Linked DNA regions of Sus scrofa. The protein of the gene in region 1 interacts with the protein of each later gene in a biochemical or structural test. Links are inferred from orthologs where the notes say so. Each region holds a gene or a part of one and is shown on either strand. Other genes may lie near its edges. The genes, in order: RAD51, RAD52, RAD51AP1, FBXO18 and SEM1.

Region 1 (6,148 bases):
AAATGACAACAAAAGATTTAGAATATGACAAAAACTTAGTTGATAAGGCAGTGGCAGGATTTGGGAGGACTGACTCCATCTTTGAAAAAATTTCTACTGTGGGTAAAATGCTATCAAACAGCACTGCATATTACAGAGAAATTGTTCATGAAAGGATATAAGTCAATCGATATAGCAAACTGCATTGTTGTCTTATTTTAAGATATAGCCATAGCCACTCCAACCTTCAGAAACCACCACCCTGATCAGTTAGCAGCCATCAACATTGGAGTGAGACCCTCACCAGGAAAAAGACCATGACTTGCTGAAGGCTAAATGATGCTTAACATTTTTAAAAATTTTTATTCTGGGAGTTCCCATCGTGGCACAGTGGTTAATGAATCCGACTAGGAACCATGAGGTTGAGGGTTCGGTCCCTGCCCTTGCTCAGCGGGTTAACGATCCGGCGTTGCCGTGAGCTGTGGTGTAGGTTGCAGACGTGGCTCAGATCCCGTGTTGCTGTGGCTCTGGCGTAGGCTGGTGGCTCCAGCTCCGATTCGACCCCTAGCCTGGGAACCTCCATATGCTACAGGAGCGGCCCAACAAATAGCAAAAAAAGACAAAAAAAAAAAAAATTTATTCTTATGGCTATAACCATAGGAAATGGAAGTTCCCAGGCTGCTGGCAATGTCCGATCCTTTAACCCACTGCACTGGGTCATGGATCAAACCTTCACCTATGCAGCAACCCATGCCACTACAGTTGGATGCCTAACCCACTAAGCCACAGTGGGAACTCTATGTACACTACTTTTTGTTTTTGCTTTTTAATCTTTCGTCTTTTTAGGGCTGCACCCATGGCATATGAAGGTTCCCCAGCTAGGTGTTGAATCAGAGCTATAGCTGCTGGCCTACACTATAGCCAGAGCAACGCAGGATCTGAGCCAAATTTGTGACCGATACCACAGCTCACGGCAATGCCAGATTCTTAACCCACTAAACAAGGCCAGGGATCCAACCCGGGTTCTCATGGATACCAGTTGGGTTCGTTAACCAGAAACACAACAGGAATTCCTGAACACTGTTTTTTAAAACATAATGCTATTGCATACTTAACAGACTACAACATAGTATAAAAATAACCTTTATATGCACTGGGAAACCAAAAAACTCTGACTCACTTTATTGCAATATTCAATTTATTGTGGTGATCTGGAACCAAACCCACAATTATCTCTAAGCATGCCTGTAGGAGTTCTCTTGTGGCACAGCAGGTTAACTAGCCGTCACTGTTACTTCAACAGCCAGGGTTGCTGCTATGGCAAGAGTTTGGTCTCTGGCCCAGGAGCTTCTATATGCCATAGATTTGGGGAGGGGGGAAAGCCCGTAAATACCAAAGGCTAAGTGCATAAAATTAAATGTAATCATGAGGTATTATGAGTAACAAAGGAGTATATGAAACAAGAAAAATTAATAAAAGCTGTAAGACATTAGAGGGAAATGATAAAGGATCACAGTATAGCAGGATGAAAATAACTGGATTCTAGTCTTAGTTCTATCACTAAGATAGAAGTATTGTGCCTAAGTTTCCTCATCTGTAAGAAAGAGATAATACCGGCCTTACTTATTTTTTTCAGCATCGGTATGAAGCCCAAGTGAGAATACCATGTTTACGAAATGGATGGGATTTCAAAGTTAAAGTGCTAAATAATATAAAAGATTATTAATAACTCATTTACATTAAGCCAGTAAAATCACTTTTATGTCATTTATTAAGGTTAATAAAACTAAACATATGACTTGTAATCATATATACATATATGATTTTTTTTTTTTTGGACCGCGCTCACGGCATATGTAAATTCCCAGGCTAGGGATCGAATGGGAGCTACAGCTGCTGGCCTATGCCACAGCTACAGCAACGTGGGATCTGAGCCTTGTCTGCAACCTACACTGCAGCTGACAGCAATGCCAGATCCCCATCCCACTGAGCGAAGCAAAGGATTGAATCCACATCCTCATGGTTACTAGTGGGATTGGTTTCCGCTATGCCACAATGGGAACTCCCATATTTTATTTTTATTATTAAAGAATCTCGCTTATAACTAGCTGACTAACAGATTATACATGCTGAAAGGCTAGTCATGTTAACTAGACTAGAAACAATAGTAATTTTTTTTTTTTGTCTTTTTGCCATTTCTTGGGCCGCTCCTGCAGCATATGGAGGTTCCCAGGCTAGGGGTCGAATCGGAGCTGGAGCCACCAGCCTACGCCAGAGCCACAGCAACGCGGAATCCGAGCCACGTCTGCAACCTACACCACAGCTCACGGCAACGCCGGATCGTTAACCCACTGAGCAAGGGCAGGGACCGAACCCTCAACCTCATGGTTCCTAGTCGGATTCATTAACCACTGAGCCACAACGGTAACTCCTAGAAACAACAGTAATATTTTAATGTATTTATCCCCAGTGTGTGTGGTATACACTGTATTTGTGTAATTGTATTTACACAATTTTTAAAAACAAAAACATATATGTGCACAAACATATTTCATTAACCTGCTTTCTTCTGTCTTTTTTTTTTTTTTTTTTTTTTGTTGTTGTTGTTGTTGTTGTTGTTGTTGCTATCTCTTGGGCCGCTCCTGTGGCATATGGAGGTTCCCAGGCTAGGGGTTGAATCGGAGCTGTAGCCACCGGCCTATGCCAGAGCCACAGCAACGCAGGATCCAAGCCGCGTCTGCAAACTACACCACAGCTCACGGCAACGCCGGATCGTTAACCCACTGAGCAAGGGCAGGGACCGAACCTGCAACCTCATGGTTCCTAGTCGGATTCGCCAACCACTGCGCCACGACGGGAACTCCCATTAACCTGCTTTCTTCTATCAGGAACATTTTTCCTATGTCAGTGAATATTCTTAAAAAATTTTTTTGTGGCTGCATACTAACGAGTATATTTCTAAGGCATGAGATCATATTATCCAGAAACACACATACCACTTACTGCTGGCAGGAGTGCAAACTGGTAGTCAATGTGGCAGTATTTATGCCATACTCAATGATTCCGCAATTCCTTAGAAAATATCTCAATTTATGTGAAGAGGCACATACAAAGACAATTAACACGGTCACCTCTGTAAAGACGAAGACGATGACAGAAGGAGGGAGAGAAAGAGGACAACTGCTGCCTTTCACTGTACACCCTTTTGCACTATTTCCACTACTGCCTCACTTGGTCACATAAGCCGTACTCACCAGAATTTTATCAGCTTTGGCTTCACTAATCCCCTTAATATTTATTAGCTCCTTCTTTGGTGCATAGGCAACAGCCTCCACGGTGTGGAATCCAGCTTCTTCCAATTTTTTGACATCATTGGCATTTATGCCACATTGCTGCAAGTGAACAAAACCATGGATAAATTTAAGCTTCGGTATGCTTATCCATCTGATATGGATATTGTCCCTACATACTTGATAGAGCTGTTTTAGGTGGGGTTTAAAATTTGTTTGTCTTTTTAGAGCTGGTTTTTTTTTGGTTGTTTTTCTTTTTGTCTTTTTAGGGCCACACCTATGGCATATGGAGGGTTCCAGATTAGGGGTAGAATCAGAGCTATAGCCACTGGCCTATACCACAGTCACAGCAACGCCAGATGCGAGCTGCATCTGTGACCTACACCACAGCTCACAGCAACGCTGGATCCTTAACCCACCAAGCAAGGCCAGGGATCGAACCTGCGTACTCATGGATACTAGTCAGATTCGCCTCCGCTGTGCCACAATGGGAACTCCAACAGAGCTGTTTTAGTAACTGTGAAATTATATGCAAAAGCTGTGAAAAGTATGTCCTACATATGAGGTATTATCAACCTTTTCATCATCAAAACCAGTAAACTAGCACAATGTATATTAGAATGGACTCCTACCATGAATTGGATTAAACCTGTAACTTTCGACCTTTTACAACTGGGACTCTAAATGAGCTTTGAGATCCTGAGCCCTAAAAGGCCATTTCAAGCCAGTGTTCCTCAATGTTTTCTACATAAAACAATATGTTTTACACTAAGCTGGGATAAACAGATAAGACTGCCCCAGAGCTAAAGGGAGTACTATCTTAGCATGTCAGTACCTTCTTGGGAGCACAAAGACTGGAAAGCTCTGCTTTAACAACTGATATTAATAATGGGGAAAACTACTCTTGGTCAGGGATTTACAGACCACTTCTCAAAAACAAACCATCCAGGGGTTCGTGTTGTGGCTCAGTGGTTAGTGAATCCGACTAGGAACCATAAGGTTGTGGGTTCGATCCCTGGCCTCGCTTAGTGGGTTAAGGATCTGGCATTGCTGTGAGCTGTGGTGTAGGTCGCAGACGAGGCTTGGATCCTCTGTTGCTGTGGCTGTGGTGTAGGCTGGCAGCTAAAGCTCCAATTAGACCCCTGGCCTGGGAACCTCCATATGCCATGGGTGCAGCCCTAGAAAAGAACGGGAAAAAAAAAAAAAAAAAAAAAAAAAAACCACATTCAAAGGCATCTCTTTCTTCCTATACACAAAGTCAGGGAGTTCCCATCATGGCTCAGGGATAGGGATAGCGAACCCGACTAGTATCCATGAGGATGCATGTACAATCCCTGGCCTCACTCAGTGGGTTAAGGATTCAGCATTGCTGTGAGCTGAGGTGCAGGCCAACGGCTACAGCTCTGGTTCGACCCCTGCCTGGGAACTTCCATATGCCATGGATGTGGCCTTAAAAAAAAAAAAAAAAAAAAAAAGGAGTTCCCGTCGTGGCACAGTGGTTAACGAATCTGACTAGGAACCATGAGGTTGCGGGTTCGGTCCCTACCCTTGCTCAGAGGGTTAAGGATCCAGCATTGCCGTGAGCTGTGGTGTAGGTTGCAGACGCAGCTCGGATCCTGCGTTGCTGTGGCTCTGGCGTAGGCCGGGGGCTACAGCTCCGATTTGACCCCTAGTCTGGGAACCTCCATATGCTGTGGAAGCGGCCCAAAGAAATAGCAAAAAGACAAAAAAAAAAAAAAATAAAATAAAATAATTAAAAAAAAAAAAGACAAAGTCAGTTTTGGTTTTATTAGCCACCAAAGCCATGATTTATGGGAGAGAATGAGTAAGGGGGGATGTGTGTATATTAGGGGGTCAGGGAAGGTTTGAGAGAGAAGAGAGAATAGTCGCTGCCCATAGAAACCAGGTCTGTTGTTAATATTTAAGCAATATTCAATACACAGGTATTGTGCTCACGAAACCAAGTTATGACTCTGAACTCTCCAACATTTATCAGCAACTTGTTTAAGTAACCTATAGAGTCTTCAAGTTTAGCTGGGGACGGGAGGGACATGCATAAAGAGATAAAAGAATAAAGGCTTTCTCAGCATTCTCTCCTACTTTTTTCAGCCCAAGTCAGTTGCACTCACCATGGGGGTCTCTGTACAATGCAATGGGCAGAAACAGTGAAAGGCCCAGCTCTGGTGCTTGATGTTCTTCTGAAGAGTCTTGAATTGAAGCTTGGCTCTTACACTTTAACACCAACCCCTTCTCCGGGCCTATGACAGCTGTCTTTCTAGTTACTTCAGCACAGATCCAGGTCAATGGAGAGACACTGTTCCTCTCCCCTAATGCATCGCTGGCCTAGGTCATTGTAATTTCCTGGACAGTAATTTCATACTTAAGACAAAGAGCAGAGACTCTACCATGGGATCCTAGGGCTCCTTAGTTTCTAACAATCCAGCTCTAAGAAAGAACAATGATAAAGTAGGAGAATTCTTGACAAAAGAAAAGATCTAGCCAGACATGTTCAGCAATTGACTTAAGCCTTTCCACAGAACACTTGAGAATCCTCCTGAAAATTCTAATTTGAGTCTTGACCTTAGGTAGTAAACCAGTGGTGTATGTAAAGGTTGTGACTTTTCCAAATGGTAGAACAGTCTCATCCAGCATTGTAATTCCAAAATAAACAACAAAGCACATACCTCTAATCGTGAAATAGGCTGTGGGCCAAAGCTCTCCTCTTCCACCGAAGTATCTGCATTTGATTCAAGCTGCATCTGCACAGCCATTACTCAGTGTTCAATACTGAAAAATATAGATAGCCATGAGGACAAATTCTAGAGAAAGCAGAGGTGCTAACATAGTTTTATAATAAATGCCTTGAAGAATTGCTTGCT
Region 2 (6,148 bases), on another chromosome or scaffold:
GGAAACTTACATTATTTTTACTTTTGAACCATGTGGATGTTTCACCTTGGAAAAAAAAAAGCTGCTCTGAACCCAGAGCTGAAATGAAGAGGATCCACTTACCTCAGTGCACGCTTCAACCCGTCTGTCACTGCCTCCTTCCTCGCCTTTTCCAGAGACAAGGCTTTTGACTTGAGGCCCTCGCTAACACCATAACCCACGTCTTCGTGATACGAGCCATCCTGGGGACAGAAGAGGAGATCGGAGTATCACACCAGGAGCAGCAGACTGCCCTGGACGCCGAGCTCCTTTCCTCAGGCAGAACCGGGAGGGCAGAGCCCAGGGCCTGCGACACAGGTAGTGGTCAGAATCAAATTCCTGCACCATTTCCTGGGCTGGACCTGCCTAGAAGTGTCCTGTGGTCAAAGCGCCAAGAAAACTCTGCTTTCTCATCTCTTTACATGAAAAAGGCACCTCTCCACCTACCCCAAGTCTTGTATTACCCTGCAGTGTAAAAACCTTTGGGACACCAAACAAAAGGAAAATTCGAAATATTGTATTTTCCAACAAATCCTCTCACAACTCAGGTGGCATCCGTTTCTCAGCTTCCACCAGAATTAAAGGTGGGCCTGGTGGGGGTGTTAGCTGACAGACAGCTGAATATAATTTCTGATGACAGCACTGGGATTTCTGAAACATAACTCAGAAAGCATTCAAAGAAATGAATGACACTGTAACAAAACTCTTTCCAGTCCCAGTTTATTTATGTGACTAAGTTTTTCACAACTATTTACAAAAATAAATCAGAATTATTTTGCTGAATGTTTAGTCTAGGAAAAATATTAACTATGGATATATAAACTAACTAATAGAAAAAAAATAAAAACAAAACAGGAGTTCCCTTCGTGGTGCAGCGGAAACGAATCCGACTAGCAACCATGAGGTTGCGGGTTCAATCCCTGGCCTCTATCGGTGGGTTAAAGATCTGGTGTTGCCATGAGCTGTGGTGTAGGTCGCAGACATGGCTCGGATCTGGCGTTGCTGTGGCTGTGGTGCAGGCCAGCAGCTGTAGCTCCAATTCCACCCCTACCCTGGGCTGCAAGCGCAGCCCCAAAAAAGCAGAAAAAGAAATGAAAAGCATTTTGCATAATATAAAAAAATAGGATGTGGAGTTCCTGCTGTGGCATAGTGGGTTAGGAATCCAACTGCACAAGTTCCCATCGTGGCTCAGAGGAAACGAATCTGACTAGCATCCATTAGGACGCAGGTTCGACCCCTGGTCTTGCTCAGCGGGTTAAGGATCCAGAGTTGCCATGAGCTGTGGTGTAGGTCGCAGACGAGGCTCAGATCCCATGTTACTGTTGCTGTGGCTGTGGCAAACCTCCGTATGCCTCAGGTGCAGCCCTAAAAAAGCAAAAAAAAAAGATGTAATAGGAGTCCCCGCTGTGGCATAACACATTAAGGACCTGGTGTTACTGTGGCTGTGGCATAGGTCACAGATGCAGCTCAGATTCAATCCCTGGGCCAGGAACTTCCATATGCTAAGGGTGTGGCAAAAAAAAAAAAAAAAAAAGGTAGGATTTACTTTAGAATGTAAAATTTTATAACACGCCAAAAAATATACCCTTGCAATTGTTTATATTTATGGTGAAAACTTTTAGCTAACTTACAAATGCAAGAGAACAGAGCTTTACAGAATTCTCTGAAGGGCACATGAGTAAGCCTGTCTGAATGCCGCCACCCCAGCTCAGGCCCAGCTCTTGGGCTGCTGCTCCACAGCCTAGAGGTCTCAGCACCCGCCCTGTGCCTGTAAGCGAAGTCTATTCCATCACCCTCACCTTCAACTGGACTCTCACAAATGCACAGACTCCCACGTAGAACTTGCCATTGTTAAGGTCAACAAAATCTAGGAGTGGGAAAGAGAACCAGTTGAAGAGGACATTGATCCTGTGCCTTACCTGGATCCCTCCAGCTGGCAATGGGGCACACCTACCCTAGGTCTTCACCCACAAAACATGCCTACCAGAATCAGCCAAGTCAGGGAGAGAGAGCCAGGAAGCAGACTCACCCACATTCTGCTGTGTGATAGAGTGGGCCCAGCCATTGTAGCCAAACATCTCATTGGCCAGATTAATTACCCTGTGACCCTCAATGTAACACACCTGGTAAAAATTTAAAGAGAAAAGAGCTGATTAACATCCCTTGCCACACTTAAACATGGACCAAAATTTACTTAATTTATTCCTTACCAACTTTTTTTGGCAAAACTGCCCTTAAACATTCTAGGGAATTCTCAGAGAAATTCCAGTGAACTTATTTCAAAGAACTTCCAGAAGGACCAGTCAGAACTTGGCCCACTTCAGATGACAACAAAGGTTGGAACCCATCCCCTCCTAAAGTCACTAAGAAACATGCAGCAACAGTGAAGAGAAACCTCCTGAATCCCAGAGGACCAGAGAGGGAGCTGGTCATCGCTGAAAGAGTCAGTATTGTGGGTACCCACTTTGCAGGGACATGAACTCTCCTACCTTCTGGCCTCCTCCAGCCATGCGGCTACTTATATATTCTGGGCCCAGCCTCTGCCTCAGAGCATTCTGGATGGCCTGGTACTCTTCTGCTGTGTACTGGTACTGCAATCCAGAAAGGGGAGGTTAAACTGACATCTCCACCACTCCTTAACACGTCTCCAGACCCCTTTACTCTTTTTTTTTTTTTTTTTTTTTTTTTTTTGTCTTTTTGCCTTTTCTGGGGCCGCTCCCAAGGCATGTGGAGGTTCCCAGGCTAGGGATCCAATTGGAACTGTTGCTGCCAGCCCATGCCAGAGTCACAGCAACGCCAGATCCGAGTCACCTCTGCAACCTACACCACAGCTCACAGCAATGCCAGATCCTTAATCCACTGGGCAAGGCCAGGGATTGAACCCGCACCCTCATGGTTCCTAGTCGGATTCGTTAACCACCCAGCCACAACGGGAACTCCCAGACCCCTTTACTCTTAAAAAGTATTGAGGACCCAAAGAGCTTCTGTTTATATTGGTTATATCTGTCAATACTAGGAATTAAAACTGAGAAACTTTGAAGGCACACATTCCAATAACCACCAGAGCAATGACATAAGCACACACCATGCGGTCTCTGGAAAGCTCCATCCTCACTCATGAAAGAATAATAGTGAAAAAGACACAGAGTATTTTAGTATTATTACTAAAATAACTTTGATTTCACAGACTCTGAAAGGTCTTGTGGACCCGCCCAGGGGTCACTGGACCACATTTTGAGAACCACTGCCTTAGATGCTACTACCATGTTACCATCCTTATAAAACTTACCTGAGTCAGAATTGGGAAACTAATTCTCAGAGTCTATATATGATATTTATGCAGGCAAGGGAGCAGGGGAGGAGAAAACAGGACAAGAAAGTCTTGCTTCCATTTGTCCTTTTCTCTAATTCAACAATTTCCCATCCTACACATAAAGAAATATGCTACTACTTGTTTGGATTTTCATCCCCTCGGTCATTTTCCCCTTGCCCTATTTAAATTGAATAAATGCTCACAAATAGATCTCTGGCAAGACAAAGATAAAATCCGGGTTACAAAGCAAGAATCTCCCTTATATGCACAGAATATCTCCATAAAGAATACAATACCAGAAAGTTTGGATGTATCCAAAAGAAGAGATCTGGGTGAAATGTGGACAAGGGTGATAGGAAACATGATACTTTCCACATAGAGTTTGTTTCATTTTAAATTTTTCAGCATATGAAAATACAATCTATCCAAAAAAAATAAATAAAATTTAAATTTAAATGTAATCCTCAGGGATATTAGTCTTTTGATGCTAAAGTTCCAAAATGCCCTCAGAGTTCATCAAAGACTCCCAAATAATGCACCTTAATGATAAAAAAAAAAAAAAAGAGTTCCCACTGTGGATCAGCAGAAACAAATCTGACTAGCATCCATGAGGACGCAGGTTTGATCCCTGGCCTCACTCAGTGGGTTAAGGATCCGGTGTTGCCGTGAGCTGTGGTATAGGTCACAGACTCGGCCTGGATCTGACATTGCTGTGGCTGTGGCACATCGACCTCTAGCCTGGGAATCTCCATGTGACTCAGATGCAGCCCTAAACAAAAAAAAAAAATTATATTAAAAAAATGGAAAAAAAAACAGTAACAGAAATTCCCATCGTGACACAGAGGAAACTAATCTAACTAGGAACCATGAGATTGTGGGTTTGATCCCTGGACTCGATCAGTGGGTCAAGGATCCGGCGTTGCCATGAGCTGTGGTGTAGATTGCAGACCCGGCTTGGATCCCGAGTTGCTGTGGCTGTGGCTGTGCTGTAGGCTGGCAGCTACAGCTCTGATTCAATCCCTAGCCTGGGAACCTCCATGTGTTTCAAGTGCGGCCCTAAAAAGCAAAAACAAAAACAAAAACAATTAACAGCTTACAGTATGGGATGGTACTCTACAAACTGCTTCCATGTACCTTTTCACTTAACCCATTCCTTCCAGGTATGAAAAAAACAGCAGTTACCTGACCAAAGCATAATACAGAGTTGCCACCAGTAGGATGCCTGTCGCGGCCTCCAAGAACTGTTTCTTCAGTCCCAGACATGTTAATTCTGGTTGACCTCTAAATAAACAGAAGATTTTAAAAGATCTTAAAGAATGCTAATGGTAAAAGGCAAGAGCCTCTACTAAAAATCAGATAAAGTCACTTTTTTTGCATCCTTCTAAACACTGAACCAGTCTGGACCAAGTTCCTCAGTGCTAGCTGTCATCTCACACACCACTGAAAATCCTTTCCAGTCTGCTTATATCTTTCTCCTCAAATTTTTGCGAGTGTGGTGGTGCTATTAAAGGTGATTCTACAATAAGAATACGTTATACTTTAAATGAATTAAAAAGCCAAAATTACAAGAGCACACTAGGGGAGAGCAAACTACCAGCTTATGAGGTACCTACTGTGTAAGCAACCCGATGCAGACTTCTGCGGGGTCCAAGAGGAAACAGAAGCCACAGAGGCTGAACTGCTTTCCTGGGGTGCACACACCAGCTGACAGGAGGAGCCTCACAGGACGCAGTGAAGACCCTGCATTCAGAAAGGACACAGCATTAAACCTCTAACAGTCCCTGCAGCATCTGCACTGTCTGGGGCCACATTCTCAGGCCCCCACCCAGACCCACTGAATGGGAAGCTAGAGGTGGGGTCATGAATTAGTGCTTGACCAAGCCCACCCAGTGATTCTGACACAAATTCAGGATCAAAAGCCCAGGCACTAGACTGAAACCATATCAACACGTAACCCCCAGAAAACAGAACCCCCAAGAAAAGGCACTGGCAGCTGACCACCCCATACTTGCCTCAAATCACAGATTCTAAGTTGGGCCTCAGCAAACTTGCATGTTATAAATTTTCAGACTATTTGCTAACAAGAGAACAACAATTCATCAATGTCAAGTACTATGATTCTCCACATGGCGTTACAGCACAATGTTGATTTCTGACCCTATAATCCATGAGATCTTGACCAAGAGAAACATCACATAATCTCTCTAAAAGATGTTTTGTCATCTAGAAAATGGAGATCACAATGGCACCTACATTTCCTAGGGATTCTGTAAAGATCAAATGTGAAACTGCATCAAAACTGCATTAGAAGAGTGCCTGGCACATACAAAGTACTAAATAAATGTTACTGTTAAGTTCTTGTTAACTTGCTTAAGTACATTACGATGAAAATACAGAAAACTATTTAAACGATAAAATATTACATTTCAGCAAAGAATGGTAAATTTATTCATAATCTTGCACTAAAAAGTAGGATAGTGGCTGGAGTTCCCGTCATGGCTCAGTGGTTAATGAATCCGACTAGGAACCATGAGGTTGGGGGTTCAATCCCTGGCCTTGCTCAGTGGGCTAAGGATCCGGCGTTGCCGTGAACTGTGGGGTAGGTTGCAGACGCGGCTTGGATTCTGAGTTGCTGTGGCTCTGGTGTGGGCCAGTGGCTACAGCTCCAATTAGACCCCTAGCCTGGGAACTCCATGTGCCGAGGGAGCCGCCCTAGAAAAGGCAAAAAGACAAAAAAAAAGAAAAAGTAGGATAGTGGCCTATACTAGTCAATAATCAGTGTCTAATTGTCAAATCAAGAAATAGTGGAATGAGGAT
Region 3 (6,148 bases), on another chromosome or scaffold:
GCACCATCCGTCCAACAGGCTTTTCTGCAATGATGGGAAGACTCTGTATTTCGTGCTGTCCAATGTGGAGGCCACCTGCCACATATAGTTAGTGAGCACCTGAAACGTGGCTAGTAAAACCAAGGAACTGGCTTTTAAATTTTATTTTTAATTAACTTAAATGTGATAAAGTTACTTGTGGCTGGTGGCCACCATAATGGACACCACAGCTCTTGAAATTTCCTCTATCAAGGAAAAAATTATAACATGTACCAGATTGAAGACACTCAAAGGTTACTCAATATGTTATTACTGGGACTAGAAATATAATCCATCTTTCCGAATTCTTAATTTCATTATTTGGCTGTTAAATTTTACTTCTAATATCACATGGTAAACTTTCTTGTGAAGCAACTTGCTCCAGGATAAAGAAATATTTAAGTGGTAAATGGCAACTTGGAAAGCGAATTTATTTTTAGCTTTTAGAGTGTCTTGGTGAGAAGGCATAAACAAAAATCTAAAGAAAACATAAAATATATTCATGTTAGGTTTTTTCATATCGTCAATGACCTTCTCCTATCAGTCTATATAGGCGGCTCCTTAAAGATATTTATCTCCTAACTCCCCAGAACGTGTGCACATGTTATCTTATACAGCAAAGGGACTTAAGTGGGATTACATTAAGAGACTCGAGGAGTTCCCGTCGTGGCTCAGTGGTTGACATATCCGACTAGGAACCATGAGGTTGTAGGTTCGATCCCTGGCCTTGCTCAGTGGATTGGGGATCCGGTGTTGCAGTGAGCTGTGGTGTAGGGTGCAGACGAGGCTCGGATCCTGAGTTGCTGTGGCTGTGGCGTAGGCTGACGGCTGCAGCTCCGATTCGACCCCTAGCCTGGGAACCTCCATATGCCGTGGGAGCGGCCCAAGAAATGGCAAAAAGACAAAGAAAAAAGGCGGGGGGGAGACTCGAGATGGGGAAGTAACCTGAATTGTGCGAAGGGCCCAGTGTACTCACACGGGTCCTTGTAAGTGAAAGTGAGAAGCAGAGAACAAGAGTGATGTGATGGCTTTGAAGAGGGAAGTGGGCCACCAGTCAAGGCAAGCAGGCAGCCTCAAGGCTAGAAAGGGGATTCTCCCCTCAAGCCTCCACAAAGGAACACAGTTCTGCCAATGCTTGATTTTAGCCCAGTGAGAGGCATTTTGAATCTGTGACCTACAGAACTGTGAAATAATAAATTTGTGTTGATTTAAGCCACTGAGTTTGTAATAACTTTTTACAGCAGCAATGGGAACTCATACACAGCTTTATCTCTAAAAACCCGGCATTTAAAATCTTATTTCTGGAAACGATGAATTTGCCAATTAAAAAAATCAATTAAAACCTCACTAATCAGGAGTTCCCTTCGTGGCTCAGTGGTCAATGAACGCTAGGATCCTTGAGGACTCAGGTTCGATCCCTGGCCTCGCTCAGTGGGTTAAGGATCCAGCATTGCCGTGAGCTGTGGTGTAGGTCACAGACACAGCTTGAATCCCGAGTTGCCGTGGTTGTGGCATAGGTCGGCAGCTGTCCAATTTGACCCTTAACCTGGGAACCTCCATGTGCCGCATGTGCAGCCCCAAAAGAAGCAAAAAACAAAATAAAACCTCACTAATTCAGAATATAGTGGCAGGAGGAGCATGACTCAATCAATACTTCTTATTTCTTAGTAAGTACTCAGCACCAGTACTCAGCCCTGGGCTATTTCAGGTGAGAACAATGCCCACAATTAATAAATGGGGTCTGAATAATGGAAATTTTAGTTTCAAATAGCACATATATTTAACAATGAAGACATAAATGTCTGTCAGTATGTAAAGTAAATCAGGGTAAAGGAAGTTATATTTCACAGTAATCTGTTATCTATTACGAACTCAAAAATATCCAAACTTCTTTCACACAAGTATTCCATATTTAAGTCATCACAAGTTCCAAAGTTTTATTTTAAAACTGGTTTCTAAATGAATTCATTTTGAAGAAACCAAAAAGCCTCAAACACGTGATTGAAAGGTTCTCAACTCAAAGACTGAGAGACCCGTGACAGGGAAGGTGGAGGCTTGTACCCACCGGCTCTGACCCCACCTGCTCTCTTCCACGGATTTTCATGGGAACGAACACCGGCAAGATGTTAAGAGAACACAGGCCACGGAGAGAAACCCACTAAGTAAACCCAACACACTTGCTCTATTCAGGGCTGCGCTTACCCACAGCAGCACGTCTAGATTTAGGTTTCTTCTCTTTCTTTTCAACTGGAGATTTCACCTTCACTTTTTGCTTTTTGATTTCTTTAACTTTGCTTTTTCTCACAGTGAGGGCTTCATCATCCTCACTCTCACAAAAATCAGAATCATCCTCAGAATCGTCACCTGAAATAGAAGATTACAAACCTCATCTCGGTTCTGAAACGTGAAGCTTCTAGTGCCTCCACTTTGGCTTCTGCCCCAGACTCCGGTGCCCTCTGTGCTGTGCCATCTCCAGGGGCGAAACCACACACAGTGGCCTAGTTTTGGGTCTCAGCCTCTCTACTTACATGTCGTGTGGTGTCAGAAAAGTCACTGACTTCACAGGGCTTCAATTTCTCATGTATAAAATGGGGAGAACCCTAAGACCTACATCACAGGGTTGGTGTGCAGACTGAGCGAGTTAATACAGGCAAAGGATAACATGTGCATGCAGCGAGCAGAAGAGAATTGCTTGCTCTCACTGTTGTCATTAACCTCCCATCAGTAATCATAAGGATTCCGAATTTATCAGTTTAACTCAGTAACTTCTGAGAAAAATAGCTGGATAATATTAGCTGCTCTTACAAAACGTTAACTTTGATGGTAATTTCACCGTATACCTTCCCTTAATCGCACAAACTTCAGCACTGCAGAACAGAGATCCACTGGGAACTGAGAAGAGACAAACGGCACCCCAGCAGTCTTAACTGACGATGATTTCATCTGGGACACACCCCGGCTCTCCCACACACTCTTTTCTGGGCTGCAGGAGGTGATATTAGCCGGTGATAAAATGTATTACGTAGCTACAGCTGCTTTAGAAGAGAACGTGCAGAACAACCAATAGTCAAGCAATAATTCTTCTATTTTTTGGTGAGTAGGGGGATAAGAAGGCCATGTCTTATAAATAATAAACTCTGACAATTAAGTGTAAATAAGGATTAGCCCTATATTCATAACAATTTTTTTTTCCACTTTTTTATATTACGAATGCAGTTCATGGAGCTCCCTGGAGGCCTAGTGGTTACAGATGCAGTGTTGTCACTTCTGTGGCGCACGTTTGCGCCCAGGCCTGGGAACTTGCACTTGCTGTAAGTATGGCCAAAAAATAAACAAACAAAAAACCAAACGCAGTTCATGCTTACTGTAGGAAATGTAGACTGTGCTACAAAATATTAAGAAGGAGGCCCACTCTCTAACCTCCTCACTTTGAGATAACCACTGTCATGCTCACCACCCACTGACAGTACCTACCCAGCTATCTATGGAATAACATAGTCTATGTAAAAAACAAAAAAAATATATATGAAAAATTTTAAACACTCACAACAGGTGACAATAAAACTAACACCCAGATTCAACAATCAGCAATATTTTGCTGCATCTCATCTGTCTTCTCTTTTCCCCTTTCTTCTCATGTCTATAAAAATAAACCCAAGGCACTGTGGCATTACACTCCTACATACTTCACAAAGCATCTCTGAAAAACACGGACCTTCAAAAAACACAACAATGTCATCATCCTATCTAGCAATATTAACAAATGTTTCTGGGTATCATCTTCTACCCGGTCCATATTAGTCACTTTTAGTACAGAGCAATATCCACCCCTCTTGTCCCCCAGCTCTGAGTCGATGGGAGAGAGTCATTCTTGGCTTAGGGTGGATGAAAATGAGCTGTCTCACTCCTTGAAGTATATGGAGTATAAAAAGAATGTTTGTCCTTGAACTGAAGGTAAAGCAGGCTTGGCTGGAGCATCTGAAGGAGGTTTACATATCTGCAAGACAGCGTAGACTTTTGCATTCTTGGGGTGAAGGACAGAGGAGGAGTCAGAAATTTGGAGAAGCAAGGAAAAAATCCTGTGCCTAAAGCTTAGTTTGTGAATCCACAGCCCTGGCTGGACAGCAGTTCTCACCTCCTCACTGATGAGCAGCTCCCGGAAGAGCTGAGATACTGCTCCTCAGGGCTGGAGCACACGACATTTGCAGGAAGCACAACTGTACAAGCAGTTTGGCAGAAACCATAATAATGAAGCCGGGAAAAACCAAACCAACTCTCAAAGAGCTGGAGAAACAACAGTCATTTTAGTCCACAAGTGATACACAAGCAGCTAAGGGCTATGTCTCAGAATCTATGAATTTTTAAGTATCTACTACTACATAAACCATAAATTGACACCTTAGGTATTTGTTTATTGTCTGTGTCCCCTTGCCGGAGTTTGAGCTCCATAAGGGCAGGAACTTTGTCCAATGCTATAATAATATCATTAAGTGTCTAAAATACAGTGCCCATAACAGGTACCCAACTATTTCTTGAATGGAGATGAACAAACAGGTTATTGTTGGTCAACTGCATGTTAAAAAGATAGCATCTGATGGCATAAATTTATGGATTTATTCATTTTAATTTTAGTTTGTATACCATGATGCTGTCAAGGTCACTATGCTTCCCATTTGCCCTAATCTCTGAATGAATCTGAAAACTATCACAAAAAAATACAGGTTTCACATCATTCCGACCTCAAAATGATTCGTGAATTTCCATTACTTATGGAAAAAAATTCTACACCTCTTAGGATGGGTCAGGGACCCTGCACAAACCTGCGCCAGGGGGCCTCTGCAGCCTCTACCACATTCTCCCTTCCCTGCAAGCCTCACTGGATACCTTGTATGTGTGCATGTGTTTCCACATCTTTTTTTTTTTTTTCTTCCAGTTTTATTGAGATATAACTGACATGCAGAACTATGTAAGTTTAAGGTGTTCAGCATAACGATGTGACTTACATGCATCACGAAATGATGACCACAATGGGTTTAGTGAACATTGACCATTTCATACAGGTACAAAATCAAAGAAATAGAAAATAAAATGTTCCTTGTGATGAGAACTCTAGGATTTGCTCTCTTACTTACTTTCATGTATAACATAGCACAGTGTTAATTTACTCATCATGTATGTTACACCCCAGTACTTGTTTATCTCATAACTGTAAGCCTGGTCCTCCTGACTGCCTTCATCCAGTTCCTCCTCCAACATCTGCTTCTGGTAACCACAAGTCTGATCTCTTTTTCTGTGAGTTTGTTTGTAAAGTAGAATTGACCTGAAACACCATGTTAGTTCCTGGTCCACAACATAGTGATTCGCTAATTCTATACGTTTCAAAATGACCACCACAGTTAAGTCAGTTACAGGATGTCACTTTACAAGGGTGTTATGCAATTACTGACTGTATTCCCCACACTGCACATTTCATGTCATGAACTCATTTATTTTGCAGTTAGAGGTTTGTCCATCTCAACTCCCTCAACTATTTCTTTCCTCTCTGGCAACCATGTTTGTTCTCTGTATTTATGACTGTATCTGTTCTGTTTGATTTGCTTTATTTTTAGATTCCACACCTAAGTGAAATCACATCTAAGTGAAATCACACAGTATTTGTCTTTCTCTGTCTGACTTACTTCACTTAATAAAATGCCCTCCAGGTCCATCCACACTGTTGCAAGTGGCAAGAATTCATTCTTCTCTTTGGCTGAGTAGTATTCCACTGGGTGTGTGTGTGTGCATTAAATACATACATATGCACCACATCTTCTTTATCCATCCATCTGCTGCCAGGCCCTCAGGTTGCTTCCATACCTTGGTTATTGTGAACAATGCTGCAATGAACATAGGGCGTGCACATATCTTTTCCAATCAGTTTCTATTTTCTTTGGATAAATACCCAGGAGTGGAACTGCCGGATCATCAGGTAGTTCTATTTTTAATTTTTTGAGGAATCCCCAGCATCACCGAGTTCTTGTACGTGCGCTTGTCCATTCTGTTGTTTATACCCTTCTATCCGTCAGAAGTGCTATTTCACCCCAATGCTACTCATTTTTCAAGGCATGGCTTAAAGGTCACCTCCAGATAC
Region 4 (6,148 bases), on another chromosome or scaffold:
TCACTAGTTTTTTAAAGTATCAAAAGCCTTGAGGCCAAAAGGTGTGAGCACCATACTCTTAAGAAACTCACTTTTGGGAGTTCCCGTCGTGGCTCAGTGGTAACAAACCCGTCCAGTATCCACAAGGATGCGGGTTCGCTCCCTGGCTTTGCTCAGTGGGTTAAGGATCTGGCGTTGCCGTGAGCTGTGGTGTAGGTTGTAGGTGCACCTCGGATCCCGTGTTGCTGTGGCTGTGGTGTAGGCTGGCAGCTGCAGCTCCAATTAGACCCCTAGCCTGGGAGCCTCCATATGCCCCAGGTGCGGCCCTAAAAAGCAAAAGTCACTTGTGGTTTGAGGATGTGAAAGGCGCCAGCTTGCCTGCTGGCCTCGTCACCTCCCAAGAGCTGTGGAGTGTCGAGTCGCGGGAGGTCCTGTCCCCCACTGTGTGGCTTTACCCCTGGAGCTCCTCCTGTTTGCTGTAGTGATTTAGGGCAGCACCAGCCCACAGTCCTTTTTTTTTTGTAGTAGATGTTGGTTAGTTGCGGATTTATACGAAAATTGAGAGGATAGCACAGAAAGTTGTGATGCCCCTACATCCAGTTTGCTTTGTGACTCACGTCTCATTGCTGGGGTACATTTGCCACCGTTGATGAATTGGTACTGAGACCTTTTCATAATCCAAAGTCCCCAATTGATTCTGATTTTCATAGTTTTTATTTGACGTCCTTTTTCGGTCCCAGGACCTCATTCAGGCCACCCCCTTCCGTCCAGGGTTGTGTTTTTTGGCCTCCTGTCGGCCGCCCCCTGTGGTTTCTCGGGCTTGCCTTGTTTTTGACTGGCTTTTGCCTTGTCGGGGTTTGGTGGGTACACTGATGTTTTGGGAGGAAGACCTTGGAGGAAGATTAGCCGCTTTCATCATGAGCTCTGGGGACCTGTGCCATCCACGTGATTTATGACTGTTGAAGTTGTCTTGGTCCCTGGTCCCCTGGGCAGGTCTCTCCATCGGGATGTGACTGTCCCCCGGCCAGTCTCCACACGCGTGCTGTGGAAGGAAGTCCTGGCCCTCGGCCCTCCCTCGGGCACGAGTGGGAGTGTCTGTGTCAGTGGCCGGCAGTTCCTCTGCTAAAGAGATTTTGTGTCTTCTCTTCCCCGCTGTTGACTCATTTACATCAGGGGGGACTCGGGCGTCTTTATCGTTTGGGTTGTGGCTCCCTCAGAATAGTTCTGTAGAAACGCTTTACGGAAAGTCTCACTTTCTTTAGCCCAGTGATTGATGTTCTCTGAAGGACATGATGCTTTAACCTTGAGTTAAAAATGCACGGAAAAAGGCAATACATGCTGTGAGTTCAGGCAAGAATGATGTCTTCTTTTTTTTTTTTTTTTTGCTTTTCAGGGCTTCACCCCCATGGCATATGGAGGTTCCCAGGCTAGGGGTGGAATCAGAGCTGCCACTGCAACCTACACTACAGCTCACAGCATTGCCAGATCCTTAACCCATTGAGCGAGGCCAGGGATCGAACCCGCAGCCTCATGGTTCCTAGTGGGATTCATTTCCACTGCACCACAACTGGAGCTCCCAAGAATGATGTCTTCACAGCTGCAGTGGTCACGGAGTCAGGGCGTAGGGCTGCTTTTTGAAGGGTAGGAAATTGTTCTGCCATGTGCTGCAACAGGAGGAGGGCAGGAAACACTCAGGAGTGTTTTTGGCTACACTCGCTGCATGTGGAAGTTCCTGGGCTGGGGATTGAACCCACAGCACAGCAGTGACCCGAGCTGCTGCATTGACAATACCGGATCCTTAACCTGCTGAGCCACCAGGGGACTCTGATTATTCTTGTGGCTGGTTATGCAGGGCACTGGTTTTAAATTGGTGTTGAGGGAGCCTCAAGGGACAGGGAGAGCCCCCCCACCCTCCCTTAATCTTCAGTGTAACTTCGTTAGGGTCCACTGGGAAAGAAGGGTACGTGTGGTTAAAAGGAAGGTTTGCTGCTGGTCTCAGGGAACGTGGGACTAAGGCCGTCCAGCCTGTGAGGGTCCTGAAAATGCCCACCCCACCCCTCCATGCATCACTCTCCCTTTTTTGTACCAGGCGCATGGCCAGATGAAAAGGGGGGGGGCAGGATTCATGTGACAGGGGTTGGAGACAGGAAGGAAGAGCCGGGGCCGAGGAGACGTGCGGTTGGGGTTTCTGAGCGGAGCCGGAGGCAGTGGAAAGAGAACACGGTGGAAGACTGGTCAAGGCCTGGATCTGGGGGCCAGAGGCCAAGAAACAACCCTCAGGTTTCAAGATAGAAGATGCTCTTCGGAACCCTTCGACCCCGTCCTTTTTTGCCTGCCCAGCTTCCGGCCTGTGGGGGCGGGTTTCCTGGGGGACTCTCTCCAGGCAGCCTTGGTAGGCTGGTGAGCCCGGTGTGGTCGATGGGCTTCAGCGCGGCCGGGACGGGAGCAGGCAGGGCCCTCAGTGCTCCAGGCGGGGGCGTTAACTCTGTGCTTCCTGTTCTCGCACAGAGCTTCCGATTTGGCGTGGAAATAGCCTACGTGGGAGCTACGATCTTGGACGTCTGCAAGAGAGTGAGGAAGAAGACTTTGGTCGGAGGAAACCACCAGAGTAAGGCTTTCAGTGACCCTCGTTTGTTCTGCGGGTTCGTGTTCCTCTTCCTCTGGATTGGCCCTGGAGCCTGTGCTCTCTCCCCAAAGGTGGCATCAGAGGTGATGCCAAGGGGCAGGTGGCCCTGCTGTCCCGGACCAACGCCAACGTGTTTGATGAAGCCGTCAGGGTGACAGAAGGGGAGGTGCCAGCTCGGATCCACCTGATCGGGGTAAGAGTGCGTTTCCGTCGTCTGCTCGCTCAGGGAAACACGGTCCATGCCAGCGCCCCCGCACCCAGGATCATCACGCACAGAGGCCCTTGGGCTTGATTGTCCCCACATCCGCACTGTGGCTGAAGCCCCGCCCCCGGCCATGCTGCTTAAGTGAGTCCTGTACCGTCAGGCCCAGCAAGGGCTCCGCTGCCCCTAAAAAAGGTGAGGGCCCTCTCGAGGCCGCCGGCTGTGTGACATCAGTCACGTAAGACACGCGAGGTGAGGACACACTGGGAGGTGGCCGGGGGCTCCATGTCGCCCCTGGCTTGGCCTCAGCTCTTCACTAACTCTGTGTGTGCCCCCACCCAACCCCCATCTCTAGGACAGCGACACTGCCTATTTCACAGGGACATTAGGAGGGTCAAGTGACACGTGTAGGACGTTTTTAACTCTTTGAGGCAGTTTTATGCCTGAGAAACATTTACCCGTTCATCTATGAGAAAAAGGCCTACTCTGTGTAAGCCTTCAACAAGTATAGCAAGTGAATCCTAATCAAAAGTTTTTTTGTTTTTTTTTTGGTCTTTTTGTCTTTTTAGGGCCGCACTCGCAGCAGCATATGGAGGTTCCCAGACTAGGGGTCCAATCAGAGCTGTAGCCGCCGGCCTACGGCCAGAGCCACAGCAACTCGGGATCCGAGCGGCGTCTGTGACCTACACCACAGCTCACGGCAACACCGGATCCTTAACCCACTGAGTGAGGCCAGGGATCGAATCTGCCTCCTCATGGATGCTGGTCAGGTTTGATAACCACTGAGTCACAGTGGGAACTTCCTCAAAAGATGTTCTGATGCTCCTTTTTCTTTTTTAAATGGTCGCACCTGCAGCATTTGGAAGTTCCTGGGCCAGGGATTGAATCCCAGCTGCAGCTGTGATTTACACGGCAGCGACACTAGATCCTTAACCCACTGCGCCAGGCCGGGGATCAAACCTGCACCTCTGCAGCGACCTGAGCTGCTGGAGTCGGATTCTTAACCCACTGTGCCACAGTGGGAACTTCTCCTTTTTTTTATTTTATAAAGATTGTCCAACCGAGTTACAGAAGTTTTGGAAATTAAAGGGAAAGAATCACCCTTAATCTCAGTTCTCATTTTTGCTGATTATTTATGTCTTTGTCCTTATGGATGTGTGTTTTTGCATAATTGCACGTACATAAAAGAGTATGTAGTTTTTATTCCACCTGTGAGCAGTTTTTCCTCACATTGCTGCTTTAATGAGTTTACAGTATTCCAGCACGGAGGCAGCATACTTTAGTCTTTTTAGTTATTGTGGGGAAATGGTACTTTTGGAGTATCTTCCACCAGGGAGGGAAGCTGGTCCCCTCTCGCACGTCCACTGTGTCATCGTGCTGGGTCACTTCCCGTTACAGTTCAAATGGTACAGTCGTCTGCGGTCTCTGAGATTAGCATTTGTGTCCCTTCCCAAGTGCTCCTGGGAGTGTGGAGCCTTGGGCTCGGGACCGGGCCCCAGTCAATGCTCTGCCCCCACTTCCAGGTGGAGTGGGCTGATCTGGGGGGTCAGGCAGGCCCTGTCTTCCGGGAGCGGACCTCTTAACACATCCAGTAATCTGGACCCATGCACAGTGCCTAGTTCTTTCCTCCACAGTGACAGCAGTTCCCATTGTGGCTCAGTGGGTTAAGGACCCGACCTTGTCTCTGTGAGGATCCAGGTTCAATCCCTGGCCTCGCTCAGTGGCTTAAGGATCTGGCGTTAGGGTGAGCTGTGGCTTAGGTCGCAGACGCAGCTCAGATCCTGCGTGGCTGTGGCGTAGGGATATGTCCCCTGGCCTGGGAACTTCCATGTGCCCTGGTTGCAGCCCTAAAAAGAAAATAAATAAAACAGCAGAAAAGGGGCAACGTGAGTGTTTGTGTTCCGCACTCGGTATCTGGGTCTGTTTAGACTCCTGGAAGCTGCTCCTTAAATTGCCTCCCTTGACAGGAAAGCAGCCTCCAGCCCTAAGGAGCGAGTCGGGTGAGGGGGCAGCCAGAGCGGGCGCTCGCTTGGCCCTGGTTTGCAGGCTGTGCCGTGGCCTCTGCCTTTGTGCGTGACGGAGGTTCCCGCTCGCGGTCGTTACGCTTGGGGTGCAATTTGAGATTCATTTCCAGAAAGTCCGTCGTCTCAAAAATCGCACCTGTGCGTTTGCTTTGCTTTGGTTTGGTTAACAACGGCCACGAAAACAAAACAAAAAACGACAAACAATCAAACCCCAGAAATCCCACCCAAAAAACTTTTCCAGGGGATCAAATCATTTGGATTGGACAGAATCGTTGACATCTGGACCCTCCTTCAGCCGGAGGAAGAACGCAGGAAAAGTGAGTGCGTGCGTGGTGGGCGTGGCCTCGCCGTCACCAGGGCAACGGGGCGGGAGGCGGGGAGGAGGGCGGAGCTCGCGGGGCTTTTTCCCAGCGCCACGCGCGAAGGCCTCCGGTTTCGGGGGAACCCGAGAGCTCCTCCAGCTCCTCCGCCCCAGTCTCGGGAGTCTAGGTGTCTGTCTCACGCTGGCCCCTCCGCCGCCTCCCCCGTCCCTCTGCTGGCCCCGGCCTCGCACTCCGACCTTCTGCCTGGGCCCCAAGCGGTCATTTCTAACTTTCCCGTAGCGCCTTTATTTTTTCACTGCTGCGCTATTTCCAGTCCCCGAGAAGCCGGCAGGGTACTCGGGGGTAGGGCTCCTTCCTGACCTGCAGTTTGGAGCCGAGGGGCTGGGGCACAGCTCCGGGGGCCGCCCTGGCCAGGTCAGTGACGGGTCTGGACGCCCACCGGGCCGGCCCGGAGACCCTTTATGCCGCGGTGCCGCCTGTGTCACCTTGAGCCGTCCGCGTGTTCCCTCCAGAAAACCTCGTCATCAAGGACAAGTTCATCCGAAGGTGGGCGCACAGAGAGGGCTTCAGCGGCTTCAAGCGGTACGTGACGGCGGCCGAGGACAAGGAGCTGGAGGCGAAGATCGCGGTGGTGGAGAAGTACAACATCAGGATTCCGGAGTTGGTGCAGCGGATAGAGAGGTGCCACATCGAAGACCTGGACTTTGCCGGTGAGCAAGGCGGGCCTGCCTTTCCCGCCCGGGGCGCCGGCGGATAGGGAGCAGCCGGCCGCGGTGCTTCTGGCCAGAGAGGACCGCTCCCGGGACCCTGTGGCCCCGTCAGAGGAGGGCCAGGGCTGTGGTTCTCCTGTGGCCCCTTTGTTTCTGTTGTACTCCCAGCCGGGAGAAGGGGCTCCCGCGTCCCAGCTCTGACCCTGGGCACACCCCCACCCTGTTCGGGGCCGCTGTCCCCTCGTGTGTAGGGACGGGGCGCCGGTCGCTGCTGTGAGCGGTGG
Region 5 (4,887 bases), on another chromosome or scaffold:
TTATCAAGTTTTGAGGGTAGCAAAAACAAATCATGACTTTAATTGTCTGAATCTGGCTCTGTGTGTGTGCTCAGCATGTGATCAGGGCCTTGCTGAGCCCTAGAGAGAACTGGTGAAGCATATTCACAGGAATACAGGCTGTCAAAGTATCTCTTGCAGGGAAGAAATGTTCCGTGCATATTTTATTGTATAGAGTATAAAATAAGGATTTATTTATTCTCTGTAAATATCTGTCTCTAGTTCTACCATCTCTTCAGATGAAATGCCTCCAAACAAAATGCCTTCTAAAGTGACTGGAAATAGATGCAGATGTAACGTATTGATTATGATGCTGAAGCCATATGAATTTAATATAAACATGGGTAGATGAAACCAGTATATATGAACCAATATATAAAACCAGTGTTCCTCTTTTTCATGTTGACCATCAGGCTGGGAATGAAAATGGTTGAGGGCTTTGCCCATTTGAGGTTACAGGTGTTATTCTACTTTACTTATGACACAGATGCTTTTCTGTAAAGGAGAGAGCACAGTCTTTGGAATGAAGATTGGCATAGGAGGACTCAAATTCCAAATCTGTCACTTATGCACTATGTCCTAAGCGACATTTCTCATCTTAATTTTTCTCATATTTAAAAAAAAGAATAATAATGCCTTATTTTGTTGTGAAGATAAATAATATCATACATTAAGTAGTAACTCTCTGGTACAGTGTTGGCACAAATAAATGGCCATTACCAACATTATTGGTTCACTTTTCAAAGATATCTCCAATATTAATTGAGGGTTTGTCAAGGTTGCTTTAGCATAGTAGTAGCTATTTTCACTCCTTAAAGGGCCATTCAGGAATTCCCATCATGGCTCAGTGGAAATGAATCTGAAGCATCCATGAGGACACAAGTTTGAGCCCTGGCCTTACTCAGCGGGTTAAGGATCTGGCACTGCCGTGAACTGTGGTGTAGTTAGCCGACATGGCTCAGACCTGGCATTGCTGTGGCTGTTATTTAGGCCAGCAGCTGTAGCTCTGACTGTGGACTCCTAGCCTGGGAATCTCCATATGCTGCAGGTACAGCCCTAAAAAGACAAAAAAGAAAAGAAAAAGAAAAAGAGAAAAAAAGAAAAGAAAGAAAGAAAAAGAAAGGCCATTCATTCAATGAGCTTTCTATTCTGTATCAGGCTAAAATCAAAGGTATAAAATTAATGAACGAATAATCCCTATCTTCCAGGAACTCTCAGCCTTCCTGGAGAGATGACACTTGCTTGAACCAGAGGCATTGATTAGTGACATCTGGAGAAGAGAGCATGCCACATTTTGGGAGCAGCATGAATTGAACCAAACCAAAGAGGTAAGATACATCCTGGTCTGTATTGGGAATTACATATAGTATGCTATTGCTGCATTATATTAGGAAAGAAGTAGTCAGAGTTGAGGCTGAAGATACCAGCTGAAGCATGAAATACCTACATGATGGTAGAGAACTTGGGCATTACCTGAGCATAGTGGGGATCCATTGATGGTTTTAAGTAGGGAGTGATGTGATCTAAGTAAGATTTTAAAAATATCACTCCAGCCATGGAGAATGGATTGAAGGAAGGGAAGGGTGAAAGGGAAATCGGAATTGACCCCAAAGGAACATTAATGTGCAAATGATTTATTCAGAAAATGTTTCTGGGGCAGCTGTTAGGAAGAAAGTAGGGGTTAAAAACATGCATGGGCACTATTTCATCACCATCTGGTGGAAGGAAGATGCTGTGCAGGGAGTTAGGAATTAAAAACCATTATAAAGTCTTCTGCCACTTTAGTCATTAAAATCCCTGATTTTTAGTTCCCCATCTATAAAATGGGGAAGTAAATCCTTACAGAACCATTGTGGAAATGAAATAAGGAAGTAAAAAGCTTTTATGAGAGCTAATATAATACAAATATTATATTTATAATATAAATAATGTTACTAATATTTTGTTGAAGATTTTTATGTCTATATTCATCAATGATACTGGTTTTTTTTTATTATATCAAACATTTATTTTTTGTGTTACAAAAACAAAAATAAGTCCAAGCAGGTAATGAAATAAACATTTTTTTAAGTGTCCCCCCTGGGTTCTCTGTTCCAGAATTTAGTAAACAGTTCAAATTTAGGTTGCTTCAACATTTCTTCTGGATGCTATGAGGTCTCCATCTTATAACCATGTTTCTCTAATTCAGCTCCTAACTGATTGGAGAAGTCATCCTCTACATTGTCATCATCCCAATTATCCTCCCAGACATGTGCATCTTCATCTTCATCTAAACCAGCCCAGTCTTCTGCAGGAAACTCCTCGAACTCGTCGTCCTCCTCCAGCAGACCCAAGTCTACCGGCTGTTTTTTCTCTGACATCGCGACCCTCAGTTCCCCAAACCTCTCAGGCCAGTGGAAAAGTTGGGATACTGGTTTTTAATTTTCTTTTTTGTTGTTTTTTTGGTCTGGTTTTGGTATTGGGGTGATGGTGGCCTCATAGAATGAGCTTGGGAGTATTCCTTCCTCTGCAAAGTTTCAGAAGGATAGGTGTTAACTCTTCTCTAAATGTTTGATAGAATTTACCTATGAAGCCATTTGGTCCTGGACTTTTGTTTTTTGGAAGTTTTAAAATCTTGGTTTCAATTTCAGAACCTGTGATTGGTCTATTCATATTTTCTATTTCTTCTGGTTCAGCTTTGGAAGGTTGTACCTTTCTAAGAATTTGTCCATTTCTTCTAGGTTGTCCATTTTATTGGCATGTAGTTGCTCGTAGTAGTCTCTTATGACCCTTTGTATTTATGTGTGGTCAGTTGTAATTTCTCCTTTTTAATTTCGAATTTTGTTGATTTGAGCCCTCTCCCTTTTTTTCTTGATGAGTCTGGCTAAAGGTTTATCAGTTTTGTTTATCTCTTCAAAGAACCAGCTTTTGTTTTATTGATCTTTTGTTTTCTTCATACTTATCTGATTTATTTCTGCTCTGAGCTTTTATGATTTCCTTCCTTCTACTAACTCTGGGTTTCATTTGTTTTTCTTTCTCTAGTTCCTTATTTGTAAGGTCATGTTATTTATTTGGGATTTTTCTTGTTTCCTGAAGTGAGATTGTATTGCTATAAACTTCCCTCTGAGAACTGCTTTTGCTGTGTCCTATAGGTTTTGGATCATTATGTCTTTGTTGTCATTTGTCCTATAGGTTTTGGATCATTATGTCTTTGTTGTCATTTGTCTGTAGGTATTTTTTATTTCCTCTTTGATTTCTTCAGTGAATCATTGCTTGTTTAGTAGCATATTTTTTAGTCTCTACTAGTTATTAGAGAAATTCAAATCAAAACTATAACGAAGTATCACCTCACACCAGCCAGAATGGCCATCGTCAAAATGTTTATCAATAATAAATGCTGGCGAGGGTAAGGAGAAAAAGGAACTCTCCTATGCTGTTGGTGGGAATGTAAGTGGTTGTAATCACTGTGGAGAACAATATTGATATGATCCAGCAATCCCATTCCTGGGCATCTATCCAGAGACAATCGTGAGTTGAAAAGATATATACACCCTAACATTCATTGCAGCCCTGTTTACAATAGCCAAGACATGGAAGCAACCTAAGTGTCCATGAATAGAGGACTGGATAAAGAAGATCGGTACATATATAAAATGGAATATTACTCAAAAAGAATGAAATAATACCATTTGTGGCAACAGAGATGGACCTAGAAGTTATCATACTAAGTCAAAGAAGTCAGACAGAAAAAGGTAAATAGCATATGAGATCACTAATATGTGGAATCTAATAATAAATGATAGAAAAGAACTTATAAAACAGAAAGAGACTCAAAGATTTTGAAACCAAATTTATGGTTACCAAAGGGAAAATGTGGGGTTGAAGGGATAGATTAAGGGGTTGGGATTTACATGTGCACACTACTATATATAAAATAGATAGATAACAAAGGTCTACTGTATAGCACAGGGTAATTTACTCAATACTATGTAATAACCTATATGGGAAAAGAATCTGAAAAGGAATAGATATATGCATGTGTAAAATAGATTTACTTTGTTGTACACCTGAAACTAACACAACTTTGTAAGTTAACTATACTCCAATAAGATTTATAAGAAAGAAAGAAAGAAAGATGCTGAAGCATCTGTTTCATTATGATAAATGCACAAGTTAACTTTCTCAAGTGACAGCAGGAAATACTGGTAACCTTGGCAACACCAATGGCCCTTCCCATCTTTTTTTTTTTTTTTAATTAAAATAGCTGTTGCTAGGATACACCCTAAAGCAAAAAGAAGGTAAAAGAGGGGGAGCAAAAGAATTTGAGAAATGAAAATGGATGGGGAAGAGAAGATGAGAGGGAAAGAGAGAATAAGAAAGGAGAGAATGAGAATAAGAAAGGAAGATAAAATGAAAATATCGAGTGGTATTTGAAGGGCAGACTTCTGGACATGAAAGAAACCATTGAATTATCACCATAATTAGAGAGCATGGGATGGGGGTGAAAGTAGAATGTTAGTTCCTGATTTACTAAAAATCATTAATTCATATTTTGTTTTGACTTTGTGTTTTCTCGAATAAGCTACTTATCCTTAATGTGGGTGTTTTCATATTGCCCTAGAAAAGAAATGTTTATTAGCTCTCTTTCCCTTACTCAAATTCCATGAGCATTCTTTTTTCTAATGCCTCACTTTTCCACTAGCCTATAAATAAAATAACTGTAGAGAGTAATATTATATTAAAATGCAGTGAATACTCCCTGAAGGAGGGCACAGGGCACATGAAGTTCTCCAGTGTCTAGAGGAAGCCATGACCCCATCATCAGTGCTTCTGCCTGCCTTCACAGCTTACTTCTGCCATGCATATGCTTGGTTATTGGGTGAAATGAAC

What was found.
Region 2: the proteins of RAD51 (region 1) and RAD52 form a complex in vitro, tested with the Homo sapiens proteins (6 studies listed by BioGRID). The link is inferred for Sus scrofa from reciprocal best matches to the Homo sapiens genes RAD51 and RAD52.
Region 3: the proteins of RAD51 (region 1) and RAD51AP1 form a complex in vitro, tested with the Homo sapiens proteins (6 studies listed by BioGRID and IntAct). The link is inferred for Sus scrofa from reciprocal best matches to the Homo sapiens genes RAD51 and RAD51AP1.
Region 4: the proteins of RAD51 (region 1) and FBXO18 form a complex in vitro, tested with the Homo sapiens proteins (2 studies listed by BioGRID, with this or other methods). The link is inferred for Sus scrofa from reciprocal best matches to the Homo sapiens genes RAD51 and FBH1.
Region 5: the proteins of RAD51 (region 1) and SEM1 form a complex in vitro, tested with the Homo sapiens proteins (2 studies listed by BioGRID). The link is inferred for Sus scrofa from reciprocal best matches to the Homo sapiens genes RAD51 and SEM1.

Annotation. Positions count from the first base shown.
Region 1 is NC_010443.5:130,622,183-130,628,330, forward strand, and holds part of RAD51 (DNA repair protein RAD51 homolog 1), read right to left. Parts: intron 6,057-6,148; 5' UTR 6,041-6,056; coding exon 5,954-6,040; intron 3,372-5,953; coding exon 3,234-3,371; intron 1-3,233.
Region 2 is NC_010447.5:68,155,894-68,162,041, forward strand, and holds part of RAD52 (DNA repair protein RAD52 homolog), read right to left. Parts: intron 5,072-6,148; coding exon of another isoform or gene 4,945-5,071; intron 4,613-4,944; coding exon of another isoform or gene 4,595-4,612; coding exon 4,514-4,594; intron 2,610-4,513; coding exon 2,508-2,609; intron 2,142-2,507; coding exon 2,048-2,141; intron 1,886-2,047; coding exon 1,818-1,885; intron 222-1,817; coding exon 103-221; intron 1-102. UniProt on the Homo sapiens protein: Involved in double-stranded break repair. Plays a central role in genetic recombination and DNA repair by promoting the annealing of complementary single-stranded DNA and by stimulation of the RAD51 recombinase.
Region 3 is NC_010447.5:65,879,091-65,885,238, forward strand, and holds part of RAD51AP1 (RAD51-associated protein 1), read right to left. Parts: intron 2,383-6,148; coding exon 2,221-2,382; intron 1-2,220. UniProt on the Homo sapiens protein: Structure-specific DNA-binding protein involved in DNA repair by promoting RAD51-mediated homologous recombination.
Region 4 is NC_010452.4:65,072,160-65,078,307, reverse strand, and holds part of FBXO18 (F-box DNA helicase 1), read left to right. Parts: intron 1-2,487; coding exon 2,488-2,587; intron 2,588-2,676; coding exon 2,677-2,798; intron 2,799-5,072; coding exon 5,073-5,148; intron 5,149-5,666; coding exon 5,667-5,864; intron 5,865-6,148. UniProt on the Homo sapiens protein: 3'-5' DNA helicase and substrate-recognition component of the SCF(FBH1) E3 ubiquitin ligase complex that plays a key role in response to stalled/damaged replication forks.
Region 5 is NC_010455.5:144,626,492-144,631,378, reverse strand, and holds SEM1 (26S proteasome complex subunit SEM1), read right to left. Parts: upstream 2,431-4,887; 5' UTR 2,379-2,430; coding exon 2,166-2,378; 3' UTR 2,002-2,165; downstream 1-2,001. UniProt on the Homo sapiens protein: Component of the 26S proteasome, a multiprotein complex involved in the ATP-dependent degradation of ubiquitinated proteins.